Linked DNA regions of Alligator mississippiensis. The protein of the gene in region 2 interacts with the protein of the main gene of each other region in a pairwise test. Links are inferred from orthologs where the notes say so. Each region holds a gene or a part of one and is shown on either strand. Other genes may lie near its edges.

Evidence for each region.
Region 1: the proteins of CACFD1 (region 2) and LDAF1 interact in binary tests that used the Homo sapiens proteins (3 or more experiments, as listed by UniProt). The two-hybrid records come from large-scale screens. The link is inferred for Alligator mississippiensis from reciprocal best matches to the Homo sapiens genes CACFD1 and LDAF1.

Annotation. Positions count from the first base shown.
Region 1 is NC_081836.1:46,231,764-46,243,774, reverse strand, and holds the start of LDAF1 (lipid droplet assembly factor 1), read right to left. Parts: upstream 5,674-12,011; 5' UTR 5,583-5,673; intron 5,104-5,582; exon of another isoform or gene 4,985-5,103; intron 4,743-4,984; 5' UTR 4,674-4,742; coding exon 4,602-4,673; intron 3,448-4,601; coding exon 3,279-3,447; intron 2,339-3,278; coding exon 2,200-2,338; intron 1-2,199. UniProt on the Homo sapiens protein: Plays an important role in the formation of lipid droplets (LD) which are storage organelles at the center of lipid and energy homeostasis. In association with BSCL2/seipin, defines the sites of LD formation in the endoplasmic reticulum.
Region 2 is NC_081835.1:60,948,734-60,961,261, forward strand, and holds the start of CACFD1 (calcium channel flower homolog), read left to right. Parts: upstream 1-6,950; 5' UTR 6,951-7,182; coding exon 7,183-7,306; intron 7,307-12,528. Other genes in the region: ADAMTS13 (A disintegrin and metalloproteinase with thrombospondin motifs 13), read left to right, coding at 81-426, 1,190-1,336, 2,167-2,343, 2,629-2,813, 3,146-3,304. UniProt on the Homo sapiens protein: Transmembrane protein which mediates synaptic endocytosis and fitness-based cell culling.

The DNA.
Region 1 (12,011 bases), on a different chromosome or scaffold from region 2:
TTCAGAAATCTTCTGGAAGAGGCATAGTAGCCTTTTGTTTCTGCAAATCTCATAAGATCCATGGGTGGGGTACGTAGAAGAGGCACTGCTGTACTGATGGAACAAACTCAGGAAAAATACTGAGAAGGGATCTGAAAGGTTTCCTCCCTTTATCATGTCTCCCCAGAAAGGGTGATTTGGAGCCAAAGTGCTACTGGATAGAGCTATTTTTGAGTAGTAATAAAAGCAGGCTATTTGCAATCCTCACAAAGATATGTCACATGTAAACATGACTGCCCTCATTTAAATATATAGGTAATACAGTCTGTTGGACCACTTACAATGCACTTGTTCCAGACTCAGTTAAAAACATGATTCCTGTTTTTGTATAGCCAGGACCTTCACTGTACTCTGTGGGACCCTGAAGGCTTTGGCTTAATTACAGAATGTGGTCAAGGTCCGATTGACACTATGAGTCCTGACTTAGTTGCATTTGTAGAGTAGCTGGGCTCAAATATTTCCTCTCTCAAGGTTGCATGCTGGGAAAAGATGACTAGCTGGTTAGAAGGAATCCTCTCAGACTAACTTCAGCCAAGATATACATTACAACATAAATATAAATGATAAATTTTACAAAACCTAAGACTAGTAAATTCCTCCATAATGCTCCTAAAATGTTTTGTTTTTCAAATAGATATTGTCTTACAGTAACTGCTACACAAATGTTGCATAATAGTATTAATGTGGGAGAACCATAAAGCAAATCTGGCTATAAACAAAGTAAAATTATTCTGTTTTCTTTTTTTTGAGGTGATAAGTGTAGGAAGTAAAGACAAATCATACATATGTAACAGGCCTTTTAGTTATTCAAGTTTCTTCAGCTTTAGTAATTTAAGGAATTAGTAACAGTAAAAATGCCAAGGATGTTGTAGGACTTGCAAATTTAATGTCAAATGATTGAAACCCGACCCATTGCTAAAACTGTACCTGAGTTTCTAGAAAGCTGAGGGAGAAATAAAAGTTTTAGTAGATAAGTTTGTTTTCTTTTAAAAGAAAACATTCCTGTAATTGTGTTTCTTCAAAGTGGTTTAACTCATTTCTATTTAGCACATTCACACCCTTAAAATCTAAAGCAGTCTCTGAACTTTGCTAGGCCATTACCATGTAAAGCATTTTAACTGTTTGTATTTACTAATGCAGAATGAAGTTAATCAGGGTAGAAACAGATGTCGCTTTGTGCAGCCATACAAATATTTACAGTGGCACAAAGAGACAGCAAACAGGCATCCATCATGCCATAAGGCAGCAGCAATTAAAGGCAGTAATAAATTGTACTATTTATTACAGCCGACATCGATTTGCTTTATGACAGGAGAGTGCAGACAGCCCAAAGCAGCCTGTGCTCTCCCACTGCCCTGGGCAGGCACTTCCTGGGCTTGAAGAGCCTGATCCTGTATACCCTGCCAATTCCTGCACAGAATTAGGCCCCTCCAGACCAGGGAGCACCTACTTAATTTTACCCACTTTCAGACACGTGCCCTTGGCAATCTCCATGGCGAGGCTCTGGAAATAGGAACCTCAACTTCCGTTGCTTCTACAGACTTGCCTAGAGAGTGCTGGGGGTATGTTTCTGCAAGCAGGGAAAGCCGGGACACACTGATGCAGTCCCAGGGCTGGGGCTGCCAATTAGCTGATTGGCAATCCTGTCCCTGGGACTTCACCAGAGTATGGAACTTGCTCTGCTGGGGGCCAGGGGTTGAAACTGCGAATCAGCTAATTGGAAGCCCAGCCCTGGGACTGTACTGGAGTGTCCTGGCTTAATGTACCCCTGACAATCTTTGGTAACCCCAGAGATTGCTGGGGGCATGTCTTTACAAGCAGGGCAAGATCAAGAGGTGGGAAAACGGGTGTTGTGTGCTTCACCCAGTAAAGCAGATCAGCTGTGCTGGGACATAGCCACTTCACTGGTGATGTCTATTTCTAGACTTACACAAGACACACTTGATAACTATTTCTTCCTCCTTTTCCTTACAAAGAAAACAGGGTCTGAAGGTCCCAATATTAAGTCTTATCAGGGTAAACAGAAATACTGTAATATTCAAAGCTGATGTTTATTATTACTCCAAGCAACAAATTATCCACTGCTTAACATACAAGGTAGTATGTGCAACTACAGTTAAAATGTGACATTATTGTACAGAGTGAAATGTTGATACTTACTTTGGAGTGTACCAGTAGTTGATCAGAGTTGTAAACGCTACATAACAAATACTCATTACTCCAGAAACTGCCAAGGAAAGCAGCCCTAGGCCACCCAGCACACAAAGAAGAGCTATTCCACCTGCTGATATTACAACACCTAGCAAGGAAGAACCAATTTGTTACTTGCATGAATACTGTACATACTATTGTACATCAAGTACATATTGAAAACAAAGAAAGTATTCGCTGCAGGTCTACTGCAATCCTAAATTCAGACCAGCAGTAATTTAAAAGTGCACATTAGTTCTGTTCACAATGCAGGTCAAAGACCCAAGGTCCCCAGTTGTATGACATCCCCTAAAGGAGAGGCAGTCTCCCTACAGAGTTTTTCTCTGATCAGTCTTGAGGAGTGATGTTTGTTTTTAGCAGGCTTTGTTCAGGTCTCCAGGGATCGAAGGAGGCTAAGAGCTTCAGCACAGAGGCTTAGCATCTCTGGGACTCAGACATGAATCCTCTAAATCTGCATTGGCCTGGACCTCCCTAGCTGTCCTTCTCCACCATGGAAAGGTACTACAGCCATTACAGCCATGTGCATTCCTCTTACACTAGATGCTGGCCTCTTATTTGTTCTCCCAGGTGGATCCTCTGGCCCACAGTGACCTTTCCTTGGATTAGGGTGAAGTAAATGATTAGGCCCACATAGCTGGTGGAAGACAGGGTATGTGGAGGTATACTTCAGAAGAGAAGTTTCAGTACATGCTATCTGTTATCATCTAAAAGGAAAAATCCCACACAACATGCTCTTCGTAAATCTCCTTGCAGGCCAGAGATGAAAGCTATCCAAGGCAAAGATAAGAGGTTTAACAGCATCCGCATTGGGATTAACTGTACCCAAGACAGGGAAATCCTATTTCCTTTTTTAATTAGATTATTATTCCAGCATTAAGACTTTTGTTGATGCTGAAAGCTGAGAACTTCAGAAAAAATCTTTTAAATTCAGTTGGATCAAGAGCTGGGCATGAGAGAGGGGAGAGAAAGGAAAATCCTGAAAATAAAAAAAGGCTTAAAAGGGGAGGAAAAGAAAATAAATAAAATACCTTCCATGATTATAACTCCAATACAGGCCATGACAGCTGTTGCAACCACAAACATCAGAAAGAATGCAACAGGAATAGCAGAAACTGCAATAAACACCAACAGCGACAAGGCAACAAAAGGATGATCATCTAAGTATTGGCCAATTCGAGAGTTCATAAAAGCAACAACCTGTAGGGGATTGAAAGAAGAAAAGTTGAATTAGATTAGGTGTTTGCTTCATAAATCTTTTATGATCTTAAACTACTTTAATGAAATTTTGGGTACAATAATTGTGTAAGTACACAAGTGATTAATTCGTGTTATAGGCAATGGCTGCACAATGTCAGAAGCACGGAGAACCGTCTGGCTTGGTACATATTTGCACTGTACTCACCATCCTTGTATACGAATGCCTTACAAATTCTATCACGAGTGGCATATCAAGGAAATAGTTTTGCAGCACATGTCAAAGCAGATGTGGAGATATATAATCTATTTTGCTAAATCAAATGTATTTTAGTACACCTAAATTTAGAAGCTAGAACATAATGGTACTTGAAAACAAAGGGGGAAAAATCAATGTGGAAGCAGGAGTCCTCACTAATAGCATAAGATAGTTTACAAAAGATATTCTGTTAAATATATGTGATACAGATGAACCATGCTATAAATAACAGTAAAAAACTAACAGTAAATGAAGTATGCAAGTCTATAGCGTATGGGGTTTTTACCAACTGTAATTTTTAATCCAGTGATTAACATTTGTTTCAATGTTGAAAGTCATATAACAGGCCAGGTACTAAGGTCACACTAAAACAGGTGCAAAAACAATTTGTTTTCAGGGACTATAGGTTAGCAGCAGATCCATAAATTGCCCTCCCTTGAACATTAAGGACTCCACAGATGGATCTACACTACAAAGTTGTATTGCTTTAATTATACTTATTATCTTAATTATATTTATATAGTTAAAGAGATACAACACGTCTTAAAACTTCATACTACTATATCTGAATTCCAAATTTATGCTTCAAGTTTCCTTGTATGTAAAATGGGGATAAATGTTTACTGCCTGTTGTGAGCCATTCAGATGTTACTTTAATGAATCCCATAGAAATGCTTTTAAATTAAAAATACGTTATGGTGGCTTGTTCCTCCCCCATGCCCTCTTAAAAAAAAAGAAAGAAAAAGAGGGGATCTAATTTTCTCATGATGAAAAATTCAAATGTGACTTTTGTAATTATATCCTTATCATAAAATGAGGTGTGACATCCAAGCAAAGACAGCTGGAGAAGCATTATGTAAACACACTCTATCAAATAATAATCGAATCCGAAACCCACATTGGAGTTGCTGTGGATGGATTTCATCATGAAGCGCCACTGCTTCTGCAGCTCTTGCATTTCTTTTGACATGTTGGAGCCTTCAGGGTTGTTCTTGAACCTTCTTCTGGATGATCAGTGCCAGCTTGGCCATTCGACCTCCTTAACAATTGAAGTGAAGTTACTGACAGGCTTGTGTATAATTAGAGGAACAGTATTTTCTTATTTAAATCAGAGGAACGAGAAAGACGCTGAGCATGGATTTCAGCGCGTCCTATAAAATCTAGGCCACATATTACAAAACATTTCAATCCAGTCATTCCAGTTCCTCAACACCTCACTTACATTGCCCTCAAGTACAAAAAAATTACATTTTTCCCCCTGAATATAAACATGCTTCTTGCCTTCTCAGTTTATCGGTTCAATCTTGTAATTATTCATAAAAAAAAAAAAAAAAAAGTGCCCAGTTCCCCAAGGTCCAAAAATTTAAGGGGGGCAGCATCAACTTGAAGACCACTTTTCGTCCTGAAGTCTGACCTGCGGGCGCTTCAAGCAGCGCGCTTACAGGGAACAGACCAGACACCTCATGTCGCAGCTGTGGGCCCTGGCGCTACAATCAGGCTCCCAGCGCGGGTTTCCCTTTTGCTCAGGGGCTGCAACAAGGAGGACAGAGACAATGGAGGCGGGAGGAGGGACCCTGCAGGCCGCTTCAAGGACCTAAAACTGCGTTTATGGCTCGTGTTAAACCACACCCAGCGCCTGCACCCCCGCCCCGCCTGTCCGCACGGACACGAGCCCCGCGCCCACCGCGCCAAGCGGCCGGGCCCATCCAGGCCGGGGCGGGGGGTGGAGGCGGGCCCGCCCCGAGCCGGTTTAGTCGCGCGAGTCGCCCGTGCGCTGCCCGCGTCCCCCGCGGGAGGAGGCCCCAGGCCCCGCGAGGAGGAGGCGGAGCGGCGGCCGCCGCCATCCCCCCCGCTCCCCGCGGGCAGCGCCGGCTCCTACCTCGGCGCCGGGCCGGGACTGCTGCAGCCGGCGGCGGCCTGGGCAAGGCTGAGGGAGACGCGGCCTCCTCCCGCTTCCGCCTCCGCCTCCGCCTCCGCCTGCCCGCGCCGGCTGCTGCGCGCGGGGGAGCGGGCGGCTCCGGCCCGGCAGGGGCGCCCCGCGCGCCCATGGCCCGGCGTGCGACGGGCTCGGCCCCGCCCTGGTGTTGCCCCTTGGCTTGTCCCCATCCCCCACTGGGCCCTGGCACCAGCCTGTGCCTCTCCCTGCCGCCCGGGTTGGAGGTGCCCATCCTTGCCCCGAGCCGCAGGGTGCGTCCTGCCTGCAGCACTTGGCCCAGGGCAGGTGCCTCTGGGATGTGTTGTACAGCGCTTGGGAGGATGGCAGCTCTGGCAAGTGGGCTGGAGAGAAGCAGGTCGATAGGTCTGGAGGGGAGGATCCCTGCGGTGGGCTATGGCTTCGTCCTGCTGTACACACTGGGGTGAAGGAAAGCCGCCCGCTCCGTTGCGGGGGACACCGGACGGCGCCCTGCCAAACAGAAGTGCACGGAGTAACCCCGCTCAACCAGTCGAAACTCAGGAGTCGGGTTCCCAGAGCAGCATAAAGCGATGAGACTTTTAACAACGAACGCAGTCAGGATTTATTTTAGTAGTACTTTGGTTGTTGAGCCTTTAGGGAGTGCTGATCATGTCGAGTGTTTATCTACAGCACTTAAGAGTACAACGTTATTTAAAAAAAAAAAAAAGTTTAGATTCCCACCTTTTTATAAAGCACCAGGATATTGTAATGCTGATATAGCGTGGGAAGTTTTGGCTACGGGAGTTTGTATGCTATTGTAAGAACAGACTGGCTTGTACCGTAAATCAATTGTTGTTTGCTGCTGGGTGTCCACGGGATTGCTTGCTGAGTTACGTGTCCTGCAGCTACAGGAGTTTCCGCCTTTGGAACAGGAGGGTGTGAGAACTCATTCTTCGGCTGCTGTGAATTGATGGCAGCGAATTGGTGGTTGTGGCAGTGATTCTCAGCTACGGCATAGGGACACCCAGGGATCCTTTGAAGGATGTAGATGTGAGGAGATAAACAGGTAAGCACAGGATCAGGCACAGTCCCTGCTTGGCTGTTCCCCTGGCCTTGCTGCCCAGCCCCTTGGCAAGGAGGTAAAGCACTGTAATAAATAAGTTAGCTTTTACAACAGGGTGCTGTTCACAAAATATATGGAGGGGCGCTCTAAAAAGGTTGAGAACCACTAAGTTATGATATATAGCAGCAGTTCCCAAACTGACAGATTGCGCACCACCAATTTAAAATGATACAACCTTAAGTACCACCAGCAAATTTTTGTCATGTAAAATAATTATAATAAATCTGTTAACATGTACCACTGACAGGTTGTCTGTAGACCACTGGTGGTACGCATACCACAGATTGGGAACTGCTGGTATACAGCATATTGAAATCGTAGTTACTAGGTGGCTAAAGATCATTAAACCGCTGTCGCGTGCAAAACTCGAACCGCTTCAGGTAGATTAGCTCCTTTTGCTGTACAGAAATGTGATGTTGATGAGACTACCTCAAGAAACTAGAACATTTTTTTCTCATGCTTACTTTTGATCAGCCTTTTTAATTGGTGCCACCCAATTAAATATTAATGGTTTCATTAGTTTTTTAAAAAAGGGGCAATGGAAATAGACTAGTGTGTGTGGGGGGTAGATTAAAAAAAATCTTCAGTAGTGTTTAACAGGATGCTCTGATGCTTGTTTGTGTTAAGTGCAGGCGAACGGGACAATGAAACAGATGCTCTGCTATCTGCAACTGATCAGTTTAGTTTAATTTTCCAAGTTGAACGACATGCAAAAGTAAGTAATAACCCAGATGGCAAAAAGTAAACTTGCTGTTTGAAATTATTTCCATTTTGTGCCTTGATCCTGCTCCACTGTGGATTGGGGCATTAATAATTGAGTGGATTATTAGTAACATAAGTAAAGGCCTTTTTATGTACAGTTCTTTAAAGATGCTCTCTGCATGTTGGAAAAAAACAGTGGATGTTGTGTGTTTAATTTGGATTGCAACAGTCTCGTTAAGGTAAAACAAAGCTTTATAAATCATTTCATTTGGAGGTAAATGGAACCTCTGCCCTTAGAGGCATCTACTGTGTGGTATTTCACGAGTGAAAACATTTGTCCTTCTGGTGAATTTGTAGGATGAGTCTCCAACTCAGCTCAGATTTTTGTCCATTGGTTCTCTTGGGCTCTGGTCCCAAAGATACAGAGCAAGAAACACCCAGAGAGAGGAAAGCTAACAGTAAGAATCTCAGTAAACAGTATAATATAGTCTCGCTTGGGATACTAGAGTATATACAATTCTGATTTTCAGCTTTGGTTTTCCATTTTTATTTGTTTATTTTTGGATATTTTTAAAGCAAGGAACAAAATCTCAATCAGTGAAATTGACTGTCTTCACAGGCCCTGATATAACCCAAGGATAATGGCACAGTAAACTGTAATGACCCTATTGTGTTTAGATTGATATGGAAACTTGAAATGGTAGATTATTTCCAAAAAAGTGAAGTAACTGGTGTTGAGGGTCTCATACATCAAGATGAGACGTATTTTACAAGTATTCACAATTGTTCTTTTTGCTAGAAATCCTTTTTTCCAAAAGAAACAACTGCTTTTTGCTTTTGCAAAACAATAAAAAATAGTTTCTGTAATTTATTTAACTTTCATAGACATTAGGGCTGGAAGGGACTTTGCGGGATCATCAGGTCCAGCCCCCTGGCCCAGGGGCAGGAAGTCAGCTGGGGTCAGATCACCTTAGCTAGATAAGCATCCAAACTTTAAATCTTTAAACCTCTTGGTTGCTGTATGCAGAGGAATAATAGTTAAAATAATTATGTCTTAATTGAGATTGTCCTGTTTCCAGCATTAACCTGAGTTCTCTGTGCTGAAGTTAACTCCCCTCTACTTAGGAAAGCAGAACTAAAAGTAGTCATGCAGCAAAACAAACACCTGAGTTGCAAAGTGTGACTGGATTAAAAGTAAAGTGTTTGCACTAGCCATCCTGTGTTGTCCTCACAGAAAAGTTGAATTGCCACTACCATGAGCTGCAGCCTTGCCTGAGCTTCATCTATGCCAGGTAAGGTAACTTGAGTTCAAAGCCCTGGGTAAGATGAGCTAGACATCTCTGTGTGTGCATGGGAGTTGGGCCAGTAAAAACAAGCCTGTTACCCAGTGTTAGCAGCCTTTTGCCCGAATACAAAAAACAGTATGAACCCAGCTTCCTAGACATAGGTACTATGAAGAGGCGGTTAAAAAGAAAAGATGGCTTGATGCGCAAAGGCCTCCTCCTACAAACCATCCTCATTCTCCAAATTCATCTACAGGGAGGTCATAAAAGAGAGTCTCAGTCCTCAGGGTAAATTGAACTGTGGTCAATACAAAAGCAAAGGGGGAATGCACCACCTTTGTGCTATTGATTCTGCTTCATGTTGGTGGCTGATTCAGCCCTTGTAAATTTGAGCAACCAAAGGGGACATCCCAGCAGTTGGAGGTGGCTGGAATACAGCTACACTCCAGTAATCCACCATTTAGCTTGGTCACATTCAGATAATGGGAGTGGGGGGCAAGGCAAGTGATACAGAACTGCTTTGCTAGCTCTGCTTCCTGCGGATTCCCCAGCTGAATAAAATGGTTGTGCCTCCTTTGGACCAGCAGTTCAAAGAGGTTGTAGCACAAGGGAGAGGAAGGTCGCTGAAGTTTTTACATCCTGATTGAGCATCTTTTTACAAGATATATTCTAGTTCAGCCAGAAGCCATCAGCTTGATGCATGCAGAAATTACTGAGGGGAATTTTTTTCAGGGTATCAGAGTAGTTGATTATAATTGTTTCTTTTAGCCTCAAAGTTTAAGAGTCAGGAAGACTTTGCTGTCAGTTTGACTAATGTAAAATGTTAGGGGAAAAAGAGCAAGGACAGTCAACCGGAATCAGTTGTTTAATGGGACCCTGGCTTAGACATAGTCATTTAATGTATTCAGACAGAAATACAGATGACTTGCATGCCAAGGTGAACTAAAAAAAATCAATCTTTATTTTTCAAAAGAGCATTCCCATTCAGAATAATTGTTCTAATGGTCACTTTTGCAGGGTGCAAAAAGAGATTGAAAGGTAGACAGCAAAGAGTTTGTGTGGGACGTCTCCCTTAGGATAGTTGAACTGCATGGGCAAGACTGGAGAGCAGGTACAGGGTGACAGCAACAGAATTTCGACTAGGCGCAGACATTCAAAAACCTGGAGCCTGAATTGATTCAATCTTTGCAGGTTAGTCTAACCTGGCTAGATTGAACCAGTTTGTGACTGAAAAGATATTCCCTCTGGATTGAGGAAATGCAGGCACATGCCTGAAGTCACTCAGGGCACGAGCTGGAGGGCGCAAGAGCAGCGTTTCCCAAGCGGTGTAATGCGGCATGTGCTGTCAGGCAAGTCCAGGTGTGCCGCAGCATTTGGGGCTGAAGCCACGCCCCCTGCCTGTCTAGAGCTATTCCCCCCCCTCCCCCGCCTGCTGCTGCTGTGGACATGGACAGACTGGGAGCATAGCTCCAGCCCAGAATGCCATCTGGGTGGCCGTGTGTCACCCACATGTCGCTGTCTGGCTGGCTGCACGCCACGCCCCCACTGTTGGTGTCTGGATGGCTGTGCATTTCCCCCTCCTGGTCCGTGTCTGGCTGGCTACGTGCCCTCTCCCCACTCTGTGTCCGGTGTGCCACGGTGCTTTTTTATTTAGGTAAGTGTGCCGTGGGGCATAAAAGGTTGGGAAACACTGCACTAGAGTGCATCCTTGGCTTCAGGGAAGGTGTGCTGGAGGGGCGTGGCCAGCCCTGGTAGTAGGCTGGAGTGAACTGGCCAGGGAGGGGATTTACTTCATAGTATCATAGTAGCTAGGGTCAGGAGGGACCTGAACAGATCATCTAGCCTGACCCCCTGCCACAGGCAGGAATGAATGCTGGGTTCACAAGACCCCAGACAGATGATCATCCAACCTCCTCTTGAATATGCCCAAGGTAGGGGTGAGGACCACCTCCCTGGGAAGTTGATTCCAGATTTTGGCCACCCTAACTGTAAAATATTGCCTTCTGATCTCCAACCTAAACCTGTTCTCCATCAGCTTATGACCATTGTTCCTTGTCACCCCGGGTGGTGCTGGGGAGAAAAGAGCTCTGCCTGTTCGCTGTTGATCTCCCCTGATGAGCTTGTAGGCAGCCACCAGGTCCCCCTTCAGCCTCCTCTTGCTGAGGCTGAACAGGTTCAGGTCCTTCAGTCTCTCCTCGTAGGGCCTGTCCTGCTGCCCTCTCACCAAGCGGGTGGCCCTCCTCTGAACCCTCTCCAGGCTGGCCACATCCCTTTTGAAGTGCGGTGCCCAGTACTGGACAAAGTACTCCAACTGCAGGCTGACCAAAGTCACATAGAGGGGGAGTATCACCTCTCTGGACTGGCTTGAGATGCACCTTTGGATGCATGACAAGGTATGGCTGGCACCTTTGGATGCATGACAAGGTATGGCTAGCCTTGCTGGCTGCGGTTTGGCATTGGCAGCTCATGTTCATCTTGGAGTCAATAATGACTCCGAGATCCCTTTCCGCCTCTGTGCTTTCAAGAAGGGAACTCCCCAGCCTGTATGTATGCTGTGGATTCCTTTTCCCAAGGTGCAGCACCCTGCATTTGTCTATGTTGAACCCCATCCTATTCTTGTCTGCCCACTTTGGTAGTCTGTCTAAATCTGTTTGCAGCCTCTCTCTCCCTTCAAGCGTGTCCACCTTGCCCCACATCTTAGTGTCATCAGCAAACTTGGACAGCGTGCTTTCCACCCCCTCGTCCAAGTCGCTGATGAAGATGTTAAACAGTGCGGGCCCGAGGACCGAGCCCTGGGGTGTACCCCACTGCTCACGTCTCACCAGGTTGAGTACAACTCGTCCACCACTACTCTCTGGGTGCGCTCCATCAGCCAATTTTTTACCCATCTAACTGTGCAGGCATCAATGCCGCAGTCACTTAATTTATTAATGAGGATGGGGTGAGAGACAGTGTCAAAGGCCTTCTTAAAGTCTAGAAAGACTATGTCCACAGTAACACCATCATCCAAGAATTTAGTTACTTGGTCGTAAAAGGCAATCAGGTTGGTCTGGCAGGATCTGCCTTTGGTGAAGCCATGCTGATTGCCCCTGAGCATGATCTCCCCTGCAGGCCCCCCACAGATATGCTCCTTGATGATCCTCTCCAAGATCTTCCCGAGCACCAAGGTGAGGTTTACAGGCCTATAATTACTTGGGTCCTCCTTCCTCCCCTTCTTAAAAATTGGGACCACATTAGCCAGTTTCCAATCCCCCGGCACCTGGCCAGATGATCACGAATGCTCTTACAGCCGGGCCAAAGGCTCCG
Region 2 (12,528 bases):
CCTGATGCACTGACCCAGAATCTGCATAGAGGCCGAAACAAATGTGTAGTTTCCTCCCCTGTGGGTTTCCTCCCTTGCAGTGTTCAGCGTCATGTGGAAATGGCATTCAGATGCGGCAGGATTTCTGCCTCAACCCAAAGACCCACGAACATGTGAACCCCGTCTTCTGCCTGCGCTCCCCCAAGCCCATCACTGTGCGTGGCTGCTCAGCTGGCCCCTGTCCTAAGCCATCTGCTGCAGCCAAGTCCTCAGGGGAACCCCAGATGCCATCTTCATCCACAAACCTGCTGATGATGGCAGTGACTGTCTCTCCTGAAAAGCCAAAATATAAGGACCTGGATCTTCCTCCAATGGGCATGCCAGCCCCTCCACTGACAGGGTCTGAGGAAGATGCAGCAGGCATGGAGAACACTGCAGGAGAGTCCAGTTACGTGCTCACTGCATAAGGCTTGGTTCTCATGCATACTCAGGCAGGGAGGGTAGGAATACTCCAGGACTTAGCTCATACTCAGGCAAGAAGTGTAGGAGTACTCTGGGACTTCAAGAGAAGGTTAGTTTCAATTAATCCTCCAGAATTAGGACTCATTATCATTTAACATCCAATGATATTGGTTATAGACTCTGAATGAAGCCCTGCGGATACAGGAAAGCTCCTTGCCAGTGTGGTAGGATGGAAGCCCCAGGATGTAACAGGACATGGGGATGGACATGATGTTGGGAATGGGGCAGCTCTGCTTTGAGTGCAGTTGTTCATTGGCTTTGCTGCTAGGAAGGTCCCCCTTAGAACCGATCAGCAGGGAGGTGTACGCAGCTCCTTGGGATTTAGGTTTGCTCCATACTCGAGAGCTGGCACAGATTTATGGCCAGGCTCCTGGGGATCATACCCTTCAGATGCAGCCCTGGTGGCTTGCCTGGAAGAAGTGAGGTGTGAGCTGCCATGCCCTTTGCTGGGCTGTTTGGGGTCTCCAGGGTTCTCTGGCTGGCAGGCTCATCAGAGCTGGCACATTCTCACTGTGTACTTTGCATGGAGGTCATGCGTGCCATGGTATGGGAGTCCTTCAAAGAGCTGGTGAGAGACTACCTTGCAGATGCCAGGGGACCTAGGGTCTGAGCTCCATGTTTTAGCACTGGTATGTTACTTTGGGGGCTCTTACTCACCGGGGCCTCTGGCTTTGTTTGCGTTGTGCAGGTATCTGCGGGAGGCTCTTCCTCAACACCACGGGAGTCATCAACATGACCGGCCTGCAGGTCAATGACTGCACAGTCACCATCGGCCGTCCCCTGGGGGAAGTGGTAACAGTCAAAGTGCTAGAGAGCTCCTTAAACTGCAGTGCAGGTACGGTGCAGAGCTGGCTCATGGAGGAAAACTAGCCAGGCTCTTTCCCAAGTCTGTACCTGCTGCTGCTTCATGACTTCTTCACATGCTTTTTCTGACAGTCCAGCATGTCCCATTGCTGGTTGACCAGGGCTAGGCTGCTCTCAGCAGAGGGTCCCCAGCTGGGGAACTTGCTACTTCTGGCTCATGAGAGCCTGGGTATAGGAGCCAGAAGCACTGTGCAAGCCAGTGTTTTTTGTTTCTATGTTTTTCTGATTTCTTTCTTGCTTTATTCTGTCATGTCTTGTGTGGGACTTTCTCACTTTGCCCTGAAGATTTCATAATCCAGGTAGAGTCTGTCTCATAGGTAAACAGTGCACACACTTCTGCTACTGTGCAAACTTTTGTAGATATATTAACAGGGCTACTGGTATTAGGTTAGAATAAACTATAGTGTCGTGATGAATTTTGGATCCTGGTGGTTCCAGTCCTCAAGTGAGGTATAGAACCAGTGTCCTGATCCAGTCATGGCTCTTGAAGTTCCCATGTTACCCTTTTTAGCCCAAGACATTAGCTACATTCTCCTTGCCAGATTCCAGTGTGAACAGTGAGAGTTTCCTCATTAAACTCCCCCTTGAATTTCATTTGGATATGGGGGTTTTCTTCGCTGTGTGCCTTGAACTGCTGTCTAGTGCGGCTGTGTACTGTTAAACAGGTACTGCATTCTTCCCAGAGGTGGTTGCGTGTCAGTAGTTGGTGAAGTGATAACATTGATTTCTCCAGCAGTTTGTTAGATCAGGAAGCTGCTGTGAGGTTACAGCATTCCCTGTCCCACTTCCCATTCGTTACAGGAGAGATTGTGCTCTTTTCTGGGCGGCTGATGTGGCGGACTGGCTGTAGGAAGCTGACCATGGCATCTCTCAGCACCAGGACCAACACACTGATAGTGAGACAGCGTCTTGTGTTCCTGGGGAACGGCATAGTTTTTCAGTACAACAGCAAAGCTGCAACAAAAAAGCATTACCAAGGTATGTGGCTGGATGCTGCTCTACTGCTTTAGATTAAGGGTGATGAAGGCAAGGCCCATAGGCTTCCAAAGAGCAGTCCATGGAGAGGACGCACCTCTTCATGAAGTAGTAAGACCCATGGAGATACATAAGCTGCCTTGCTTGTGCCTTGAGATGCATATTTGAAATGCCCTTTCTGGACACATTTACTTTTCTTGCGTCGCTGCTTGCTGCCTCGCTGCTTGCTGCTCTGACCACCAGATCTCCAACTGCTTTCCTGCCCTCTCTCCTCCTCCCTCCCCACAGACTGCGATGTGCAGCTGTTCGGCTCTCGAGGAGAAATCGTGAATCCTGTAGAGTCTCCTGACCCCAGAAGACAAGTGGCCTGTCGCACCTTCATCACCGTGGCCCCACGGCATCGCATTGCCATTCGTGCCCTCTACACGGACCTGGGGCCTGAGAGCAACCACACATACTCCAGTTATATCTTGGTGAGTCACCAGGCTGAGGTGAAGCACACCTAAGGTCTCAGTGCCCCTCTTAGGTCCTCACAAGTTTGTGTTGAAATTCAGGGTTCAAAGCTCACTGCAAACCTGATGGGGTTAGATTCTGATCTCAATGGCATCAGTATAGACTTGAATTAATCCTATTGAGGTCTGTAGGTTCCAGCATCCAGCTCTGGCTGAGGGCGACATCCTGTCCTACAGGGCACCAGGTCCCCTGGCTAGTCTTCCCTTAGGGCTCCCATCCCAGCACAGATATTTCTCTGGCTGGAAAGATACAGGTAAGCGTGTAGTAGCGACTCATTCCCCTCTGTCTTCAGATACGTGATGTAAACACCATGAAGACAATCGTGTTCCATGGGAAACAGCTATTCTTTTGGGAGTCAACCGGGAGCCAGGCTGAAATTGAATTTCACGATGACTTCACAGAAGGCCACGGCAGTTTCCGAGCAGAGTACCAGGTCACTGAGCCCAGATAAGTGGGAAGCAGGGATGTTTCTGCCAGAGAGGCAGGGGAGCAGTGAAGAGCCCTGTCACTGATTCACCATGCGACTCCAGTCAAATCATTGAACTTCCCCACCTCTTTTTCACCATCTGTTTAATAGGTATAATAGTCTCTGCCTGCTTCCTAGGAGCACTCGGTTAATAAGCACCTTTGCAGTCCTGGAACACAAGGTGGTCTAGAGATGCCAGATATTACAAAATAGTTCTCATCAGTGGATTCCTTTTCAGCCTCTGCCAACTAGTACTAAGCCAAGGGTCCCCTGAAGCCAAGGGCTGGGGACACTGCTGCATACATCTCCTTCCTGTGATGTGATGCAATGCTGCCTTTTGAAAGAGGCCCCTCCTGTTCAGTGTCCCCTTATGGGAGCGTAGATCACAGCAGCTAGGGAAGGGGAACAAACTTTCCCGTCAGACACAAGCATTTTTGATTTTGGCCACGGCTGTGAATGAGCAGTGTGGAAAAAGCATGCAGTTTAGGGCTTTGGGTCTCACTCCAGCAGTGTTAAGGGACCTGATCAGTTTTACACACTTCACCGTCTAAAGGGGTCTTAAATATAAACAGAAATAAGGCCTCGTATGTCTGGAAGTAACACTCATATACCGGTATTTAGGAAAATAAAACCTTGGTGACAAAATCTGCCTGCTCAGGTGCATCCAACCTCTGCTTTTTGGGCCCATCTTTGCTCTACCACCCAGAAGTTTCAGAGGGCTGCTTTGTATTGATGACAGACTTTACAAAGTTGCTTATGTGTTACACATTTCTGTGCACTGAACTCTCCTGGCTTTTCAGCAGCCTGTCATTGGTGGTGTTGCTTTTGGGATTTCTCTGGGGGGAATGCAAGTTGGAAGGAAAAGAGAGAGGGCTGGTGTGTCAGCTGCACAGAGTTTAGGAGCATCCTCCTTTCTCAGGTTTTCCCTTTTTCCTTCCACGTGGCACATTTGTTTTTCATTATCTATTTTACTTCTGGTACAAGCCCTCTCTTGGTAAAGACTAAAGATAATGAAAGTTACCCCCATGGAGAGTAACAGATGGACACTGTAAGCTGCAATTAGCAGGGAAATTAAGTGTGACATCAGAAAGGCTGGTTACTCAGTGGAACATCAGCAATGAATATCTCCAAAACTACAGCACATATAATAATACGTGCAGTGGTACACTGGAAAGCCCTTGGAAGCTGTGTATGATCAGTGGTAACAGCAGTGAAAAGTGGTTTAGAGCAATGATAAATTCACCCTTGTCTTTGGTCGGGTAAGATTCCAGTTTGCTTTTAGAAGAATCCTCTTCAGCAGAAAAACCTGCTTACCTCGGGCTTGTTTTGGTCCAAAAAATCTTTTGACCTCACTGAAATCTTTTGACCTCTCTTTCCTGTGCAAAGCAGCCTTCTTCAGTGCTGATCTGAAGCTCTGCTGGGAATGGCTGCACCTTGCATTCATACCTAGTGAAATGTGGATGTTCCCCTTGGGGAGTTTTAGCCCTCTCCTTGTCTGCTTTCAAATGGATTCTGTGATGCCCTCTCAAAGCCCCAGATTCACAGCTTCCCATCTGTTCATGGTGCCTGTTTCTAGTGGTTAAGCCTGGATTTTTTCCAATCACTAGCCTCCAGCTTTACACTCAGTGACTGGGAGAGGAGGCAGAAAGGAAGTGGTCTGAACACCTACACCCCTATTGTAGTTGGAGTTAAAGGTGCCCAGCATGTGGATTCATCATCTGCTTCCCTGCATTTCATAGCATGCCCTGTTTACCCAAGAGCTTCAATAGCAGTGAGAGAGTATCCTCATCCTAGTCTGTTTTGTAACCATATCAGGCATGGAAGCTGCAATAGTGGCACTATCCAGTTCCTCCTCACCTGCCTTGGTTCCAAGTACTAGACACACTACAGTCCTGTGAGTCCAAAAGAGACTGTGTATGGTTCTTAGGACTACAACTACAGAACTGTATCTCTCCCTGTAGGACCTGTCTGAGATTTTGCAAACTATATACCTATTTTAGGACTAGGGAATGAGAAATATACTGGAATTAACTTAAGGGATGTGTCCTGAAAGAAAATCAGTATGTTACAGCAGAGACCAAGTAATCTAGGAGGATCAAGGCCATTTTCACTATATCCAATCCTATTACATTCCCACCTGAGGGAGTCTCTGACAAGTAGATTGCCACAACATCAGGGGATAAACCAGCACTGTTGAAGTCAGAGGACGCTTTCCTATAGACTGAGATGGAACCAGGATCTCACTCCTCATCTGAATGCACTTGGCCTTCTCTCTTTAATCTAAATCTTTCCCAGAGTGCCTCATTGCTTTAATTTCTGCATGATTGTAATAATCTATCTGTTGCCATCACACATTGACCTGTGACTGGAACATTGTCATCGAACACCAGAACGTCCCTTGAGACCTGAGATTTTGGTGCTCAGCTGTTGCAATTTGTTCTCTTGCTCAGAGCTAAACCTTTCCTTTTTTTATCTCTCTCCTCCATCATTATTAAGGAAGATCATCTCTGGAGCAGTTGGAGACTGGAGTACAAAATGGCCTTTGGGCAGAAACAGCATTGGAGATGTTATTTTTTGCCTCTGACATATGACATGTGCTTAACGCTGAGAGTCTAATATAATGAGCTGATACCAGGAGCTGGGGCTTAAGAAACCATCAGATAGCATGAGACTTGTGATGAAGGAGTTGGCAACACCACAGCTCAAAGGCACAGGCCAAAGGCCCCAGTGGCTAACGTGAAAGGGCCCTCACTGGTTTCCCTGCATTTCTTAAAACACCCTTGTTTACCCAAGAAATGCAGCAGCCACGGGAGCAGGAGGAGATTGTGAAAGCCCCATGGGAACACACAGATCCAAGTTCACAAGAGAGAGCAGCTTTACAAAACTGTCCCATCGGGTTAAATCCTGAAGGAGGGACCCTGTTTCCAAATGACTGAACTTAGATCTGGGAGTCAATGAACTTTTTATTGCCCTTGGAAAGAGTTGGTGTGAAGGGGGTGGCACTGTACCAAAGAGCAACCCACACCTGCTGACCGCACCTCGGGCCTCCTCCATCTCTGTGCAGGCACTCGCTTGGTCTGACAGGCCTGTTGCCCAGCCCTCTGCCTCTCCCGCATGGTTGTCCAGACAGGACAACTTGGTGATGAATGCAGGGGACCGTGCAGTCAGACACCTGGGTTCTGCTGGTTTTGCCGCAGACCTGCTGAGTGGACCTGGGCAAGTCACTCAGCCTCCGTCGTGAAGCAGAAGGGCAGCAATGACCACAGCAGTCTCTGCACAGCTGGGAAGCCTTCCCAGAGCCTTGTGCATGGGTTTTCAGCCAGGCTCATATTTACGGCAGTGCTGCAGGTTGGCACCGGGGAGCTCCTGTGTGGCCATGCAGGGGCTCACAGCTGCTCCCTCTGCAGCTCACCTGTGAGCAGGCATCCACCCAGGTGCGCTCGGATCAGGCCTCCCCGCACGCCTGCCTGCAAACGCGCCTGCCTTCCCGTGTACGCACGCAGACCTGCAACGAGCCCCTCCTCTGGGAGCTGCAGCTCATGAATATGTAGAGCCAAGGCCCGGCCTGCCTGGCTGCTTAACGAGGGGGCTGACATCAGAGCCCTCCCCCAAGGAGGGGGGCCCCACAATGCAGCGCGCAGGGCGACGTGGATCAGACTTTCCATTGTCAGCAGGAACAGAACAGCTGTTGAGGGGCAGGCGGGGGCCAGGCCGGCTCCATGGGGTGGTGGTGAGGGGCCCAGCAGCTGCGGCCCCCCTGTGAAGGGCTGTCACCAAGAGGGCAGGAGGGAGGGAGCATCCCCCACTGCTCTGCCTCAGGTGGGAAGCGGGGCAGCTCCTGGCCCTTGAGGAAGCCGGCTACCATGAGCTCCCAGGAGGACCAGTTCCAGCCGGCCCCCCCGGCCCCAGCTGACTCCAGCAACGATGATGGCATGACCTGGTGGTATAGGTGGCTGTGCCGCATCGCCGGGGTCGTCGGGGGCATCTGTGAGTATCCCATAGCCCTCGCTTCCCAGGGCGCTGCTGGAGCAGGCGGTTCCTAATCCATCCTGCTTCCTTTGCTTGCCTGAACTGGCGTGCATTAGGGCAGCCTGTTTTGCATGCTCAGGTGTGTGCACAAGGGTGGGAGCCGTGTACACACGAGTGCCCGGGGCTGGGGGCGAAACAATAGTTTGCAGCAGCAGTTTTGTGTCTCAGACAATCGAGGATCTAGAAGCAGGCAGTGACGGGGGCGTGGGCTGCGCTTTGGGATCGTCCAGCCTGCCCAGCACTTTCCCTGCAGGCAAGAACAGCATTGTGCTACACACACGTCTCTGCGGTTGTGTCCACCCCGACAAGGTCCCAGGCCCCGATCCTGCATGAGGGGGTGGGCAGTGATACAAAAGGGGGTGCCCAGGGTGCTGCAGGCAGGTGGCTGGATTAGGCCCTGTCAGTGTTTCCAGTCTGGTGCCTGGGCTCTTTTTACCACTGCCAGGTTGCTGATTTCCAGGTATTTTCTGCGTTGCTGCTGCTGCTCGTAGCGCGGGAAGAGTATTTCCGTGCGGTCGAGCAGGGAGGATTTTCCCTCGGAAGGGCTGGTTTGTTCTTTTCCTACTGAAGCGGACAAAACGAATAGGTCTCCGAGCCGTAAGGGGCCATCGTGTTTCCAGTCCAATCTCCTGCTGGAAACTGTCTGCAATTCTTGCGCAGAGCCCAATCATTTCTGGGAGAGTGAGTGTGTTTCTCATCGAAGCGGTGTGCACTTCGCTGTAACATTTCATCTCACTCCTTTCTCTGCCCTTACCCCCTTGCTTGGCTCCTGGTCTGGAGCTGCTTGGGCAAAGCTGCTGCCTGTTTGCAGCTGCCCTTGTGTGTGGTGCTACTGGGAGGCAGGTTTTTTGCAGTCTCTTTTGTTTGCATTGATCCAATGCCTAACGTAGACCCGAGAAAGTTCCTGGTGGAGGCTGGGGCTTCTGATCGGGCTGCACAGGGCACCACACCGGTTGGCGCTGAATTATTAGTGCTGTGAAAGGTTTTACTGGAATTGTTCCTATCAGGGGACATTGGCCCAGTGCACAGGGCTTAGTGGAAAGCCCTTGCTGCTTCCCCCGGTGCTTGCACGTCCCCAGGAAGCTGGCTGGAGAATCTCTCTTGGGTTGGGGTGGTAGGAAGCTGGACTCTTCCCCCAGCTCACGGTCAAAAGCCCCAGAAAGGCCATGAAGGGTGCAGAGCCAACAGGCTGTGGTTCCCATACGCCGACACTGTTGCACTCCCCAAGCCGTTCAGACTAGTGACCCAACTCCAGGTCGGGAGATCGGTTTAAAAATCATGAGTTGGGTTTGTTCCCTTTACCTCTGACAGGGACAGAAATTACACGTAAACCAGTATTAGTGATTGGAAACCGGTTCAAATCTGTAACACAATAGAAACTCAGTGCACTTAAACTGCTTTCAAAATGGCTGAAACCGGTTTAAGGTAAACTTAGATGGATGTAGTGTCTGACTTAACTGATTTAGGTTAAACTGGTTTATTGAACTTCTGTCCTGGATCCCCTCCACATTCAAGTTGACTCTCAGTTCCCCAGCATCCCAGGATGCTTTGCACCTCCCCTGAAAACCCAGTCCTTGCAGGGTGGGTGGCTCACTTTGGCCCAAGGTGTTTGCTCCAGCTTAGCAGGGTGGCATGCCCTAGCGCCCCCTAGCTTCTGGCCAGGGCCACTGCAGGCGTGTAGCTGCATTTCCAGAAGCAAAAGTGAATGTCTGTTCACTTGCTTATCGGTTCAATCTACGCAGCTTAGACTAACCTGCAAAGATTGAATCGATTCAGCCTTGTGCTCTTTGACTGTCTACACTTAGCCCTGGTGCCCGAGCCCTTGGGGCCCACTTGGCTTATACTGCCAAGGTTTTCTGTGCAACCAGGCAGGTGGGGATATTGTTCTGAACCTCTGGGAATTGCTTCTTCTCGCGCTTTTGCTCAGCAAGCAACAAATCCACCAAGCAACTCAAAGGCAATTTGATATCAGGATTCAAGAACTGGCCTATAACAGGAAGAGTGGTTCCCTGAGCCCTCTGTGTTACCGCTGACCTCGTTTCAGGGTCTTCCTCCCTGAGTGTCACACCGACAATTGCTGGAGAAGACTGGGCTATATCTCCAGTTTTTATGGGTTGCCAAGTGTTGAGTCCACTCCCTAGGATGCTCACTGGTTGTATCTGGGTTGCTAAAAGGATCATTGTATCCTGATGAGGCCACAGTCATTCTTGGCATAACCTGCTGTAACTTCAGTGGAGTCATGATTGCTGATGCCGGGGCAGAGGTTGGCTCATACGCTGTAGCCAAAAATACACTATAGACAGAATTGCCTGGTGCTTGGAGAGGGACTTGGGTGACCCTGTTTTTATTCCCAGCTCTGCCACTGACTGACTGTGGGACTTGGGCAGGTCACTTTGTAACACAGAGGTGATTTCATTGAGATACTTTTGTACCGTACTTTGAAACCTTGGGCAGAGAGTACCATAGAATATGCGTGAGAGCAGGCCTGCCACGTGGGCTGTGAGGTGCAGTGAGCCTTTCTGCCAGGAGTCCCATTTCAGCTGCACATTTATTGCTGAGTTTTCTTAGTGACTCAGCCCGGGACAGAGATTAAATAAATAGCCAACCAGGCGAATGGTCTGACTCCTCTATTACGGACATGCCCTTACTTTAAAAGCCTCTTTGTGGCCTGGCACCATGAAAGGCATCTGAGCTGATGGCTGCGGTTCCATTTGGACTTCTCCGGCAGGATTCAGTAAACCTCCGGTAAGGCAATAACACATTGGGGTGCTTTGGAGGGCTCCTGTGCTGCAGAAATGGAGACAGTGAAGGTCACTGAACCACTGTCTCAGTGGCTGTTGGCAAACGCCGTGGTGCGCGGTGTTTCGATGATTGCATATCACTGACTCAGTTCCCAGCAAATGCAAAACACCCATCGTGCTGATTTCAGGAACAAGAGAACTGTTTGGTCAGTGCTACTGCTTGATTGACCCTTGGCCTCGATGGAAGGGATACAGAAATATTTTGCACGTAGACTTTGTCTTAGGAGAGTCGTGGAGTTTTTTTTAGGTTCCCAGAAAAAAAGAGCCCTTAATTTTTAATGTCTTTGGAAAGATGCAGGGAAGGAAGCGATACTCGCGGCAGTCAGCCCAGATTTATGTTGAGAAAAAGACGTTCTGCTTCTTCCTGTGGTTCAGACTGGAGTTGGGATCCTTCTAAAAGTCCTTGCCTAAAAAGTTCCTTGGTGTTACACTCAGCTGTTAAGCCACTGCCATGTTTCTCCCCAAGAGGTAGCTGCATTTCAGTGAGGGGTGACATGCTCCCTGTTGCTAGCTAGTCTGGAAGTGCTTGGAGATGGCTTACGTAGGTCCTAGTGAAGGTCATGGGCTTGTCTTTAGGGGCAAAACTTTGATTCAGATATTTGCCCCTCTCTTCTGCTCATGCATTTATCCAGTAAGATCAGGGAGGAAGGTTACTAGCTGTCTGCCGTGTCCTTCCCTGCAGAGCAGCAGCTGGCCCCATGAACCTGGCCTGTGCTGCTCCTTGCAGTGGGAGTGAAGTCCAGGGCCTGCTGGCTGACCGTGGGCAAGGTACTTGGAGCTCTGTGCCCCAGTTCCCCCCCGACTCTCTTTCTGAAATGAAGCAAATCACCCTGCCCTCTTTTTAGGAAGTGCTTGGAGACTGAAGGGTGAGGAGCACTATGAAAGGGTTGTCCCTATGTCTCCTTTGCCTTCCCTGCTATCCTGGCTTCACATCTTACGATTGCCATCTTTGGACTGAATACCCCTAAACCCCGCTCTTGTCCCCAAACTGGAGGAGTGGGCCTCCCTGCCGCTGACTTGCTGTGTGCATTCAGGCAAGGTACTTCATCGCTGTCTGTACAAAGGATCCTTAACCTGCTTTTCGCCCCTCACTACAGAAAGGATGTGGACAAATTGGTGAGAGTCCAGTGGAGAGCAACAAAAATGGTTTGGGGGCTGAGGGCCATGACTTGTGAGGAGGGGCTGGGGAAACTGGGCTGATTTAGTCTGGAGAAGAGAAGACGGAGGAAGGATTGAATAGCAGCCTTCAACTCCCTGAATGGTCTTTCCAAAGAGGATGGAGCTGGGCTGTTCTCAGTGGTGGCAGATGACAGAACAAGGAGCAATGGGCTCAAGTTGCAGCAAGGTTAGATATTTGGAAAATATTCTCACTAGCAGGGTAGTAAAACACTGGAACAGAGGTGGTGGAGTCTCCATCCTTGGAGGTGTTTAAGACCCAGCTAGGTAAAGCCCTGGCTGGGACGATCTAGTTGGAGCTGGTCCTGCTTTGTGCAAGGGGCTGGACTAGATGTGACCTCCTGAGGTCCCTTCAACCCTTATTGTCTATGCTCCTATGAATGTCTGAGGTTTCACTAGCGATGGCCCTCAAATTTGTCTCCCTTCTCCATCCCTGGAGCCACTTGGGGAATGACAAACATGGACTCTATTGAAATACCTTGTTCTGAGATGGTTTTGTGTTCTGACATACATGACCCAGTCACCTGCATTATGTAGGCACCGGAGGCATACCAGCACTCCCCCTGCCCATGCCACCTTTGCAGTCCGTGCTGTTTAGTTGCAGGTTTTGTCAGGTTATTACGTATTATTGAGCTGGTCCTGCTGCAGTATCCCACTGTCCCTCCCCCACCCGGGGCTCAGATTCCTCCTGTGAATAACTGGAGGCTCTTGCGGTCAACGGAGGAGGATGGTAGTATCGGATGCAGGGAACTTTTGCAAGTTTAATGAGCTGCAAGGTAAGTGCGTGCTCTAGTGCTGGCTTCAGAGCTGCTGGCATTACACATTCAAGGCCTCCAGTGTTATTTTGGGTCTCACTTTGTCAAATATATGCTTCCATGCCTATGAGACGGGTGGAGCTGAGGGCTGAAGATGACCCAGTGTTGGCCTGGAGGATCCCTGCGGAACGAGAGGGGTTGTGCCGTTGTGCAGAGCTGAGCGCACAGTTTGGTCCATAGTTTGCTGGCACATCCTTGTGGCTGCCTGTGCTTTGCCACGGACTGGGGCTATTTTTCACTCCACTGTTTTCTTGTAATAAAAGATCTTGTGCTGCTTGCAGGTAACTCTTTATCCAGGGGCAAAGTACAGGAGATTTAGAGATTCCTCCGCAAATAAAACCAGAGTTTACTTTCAAGTGATTTCATTTTGAAGCAAACAATCTGGTCT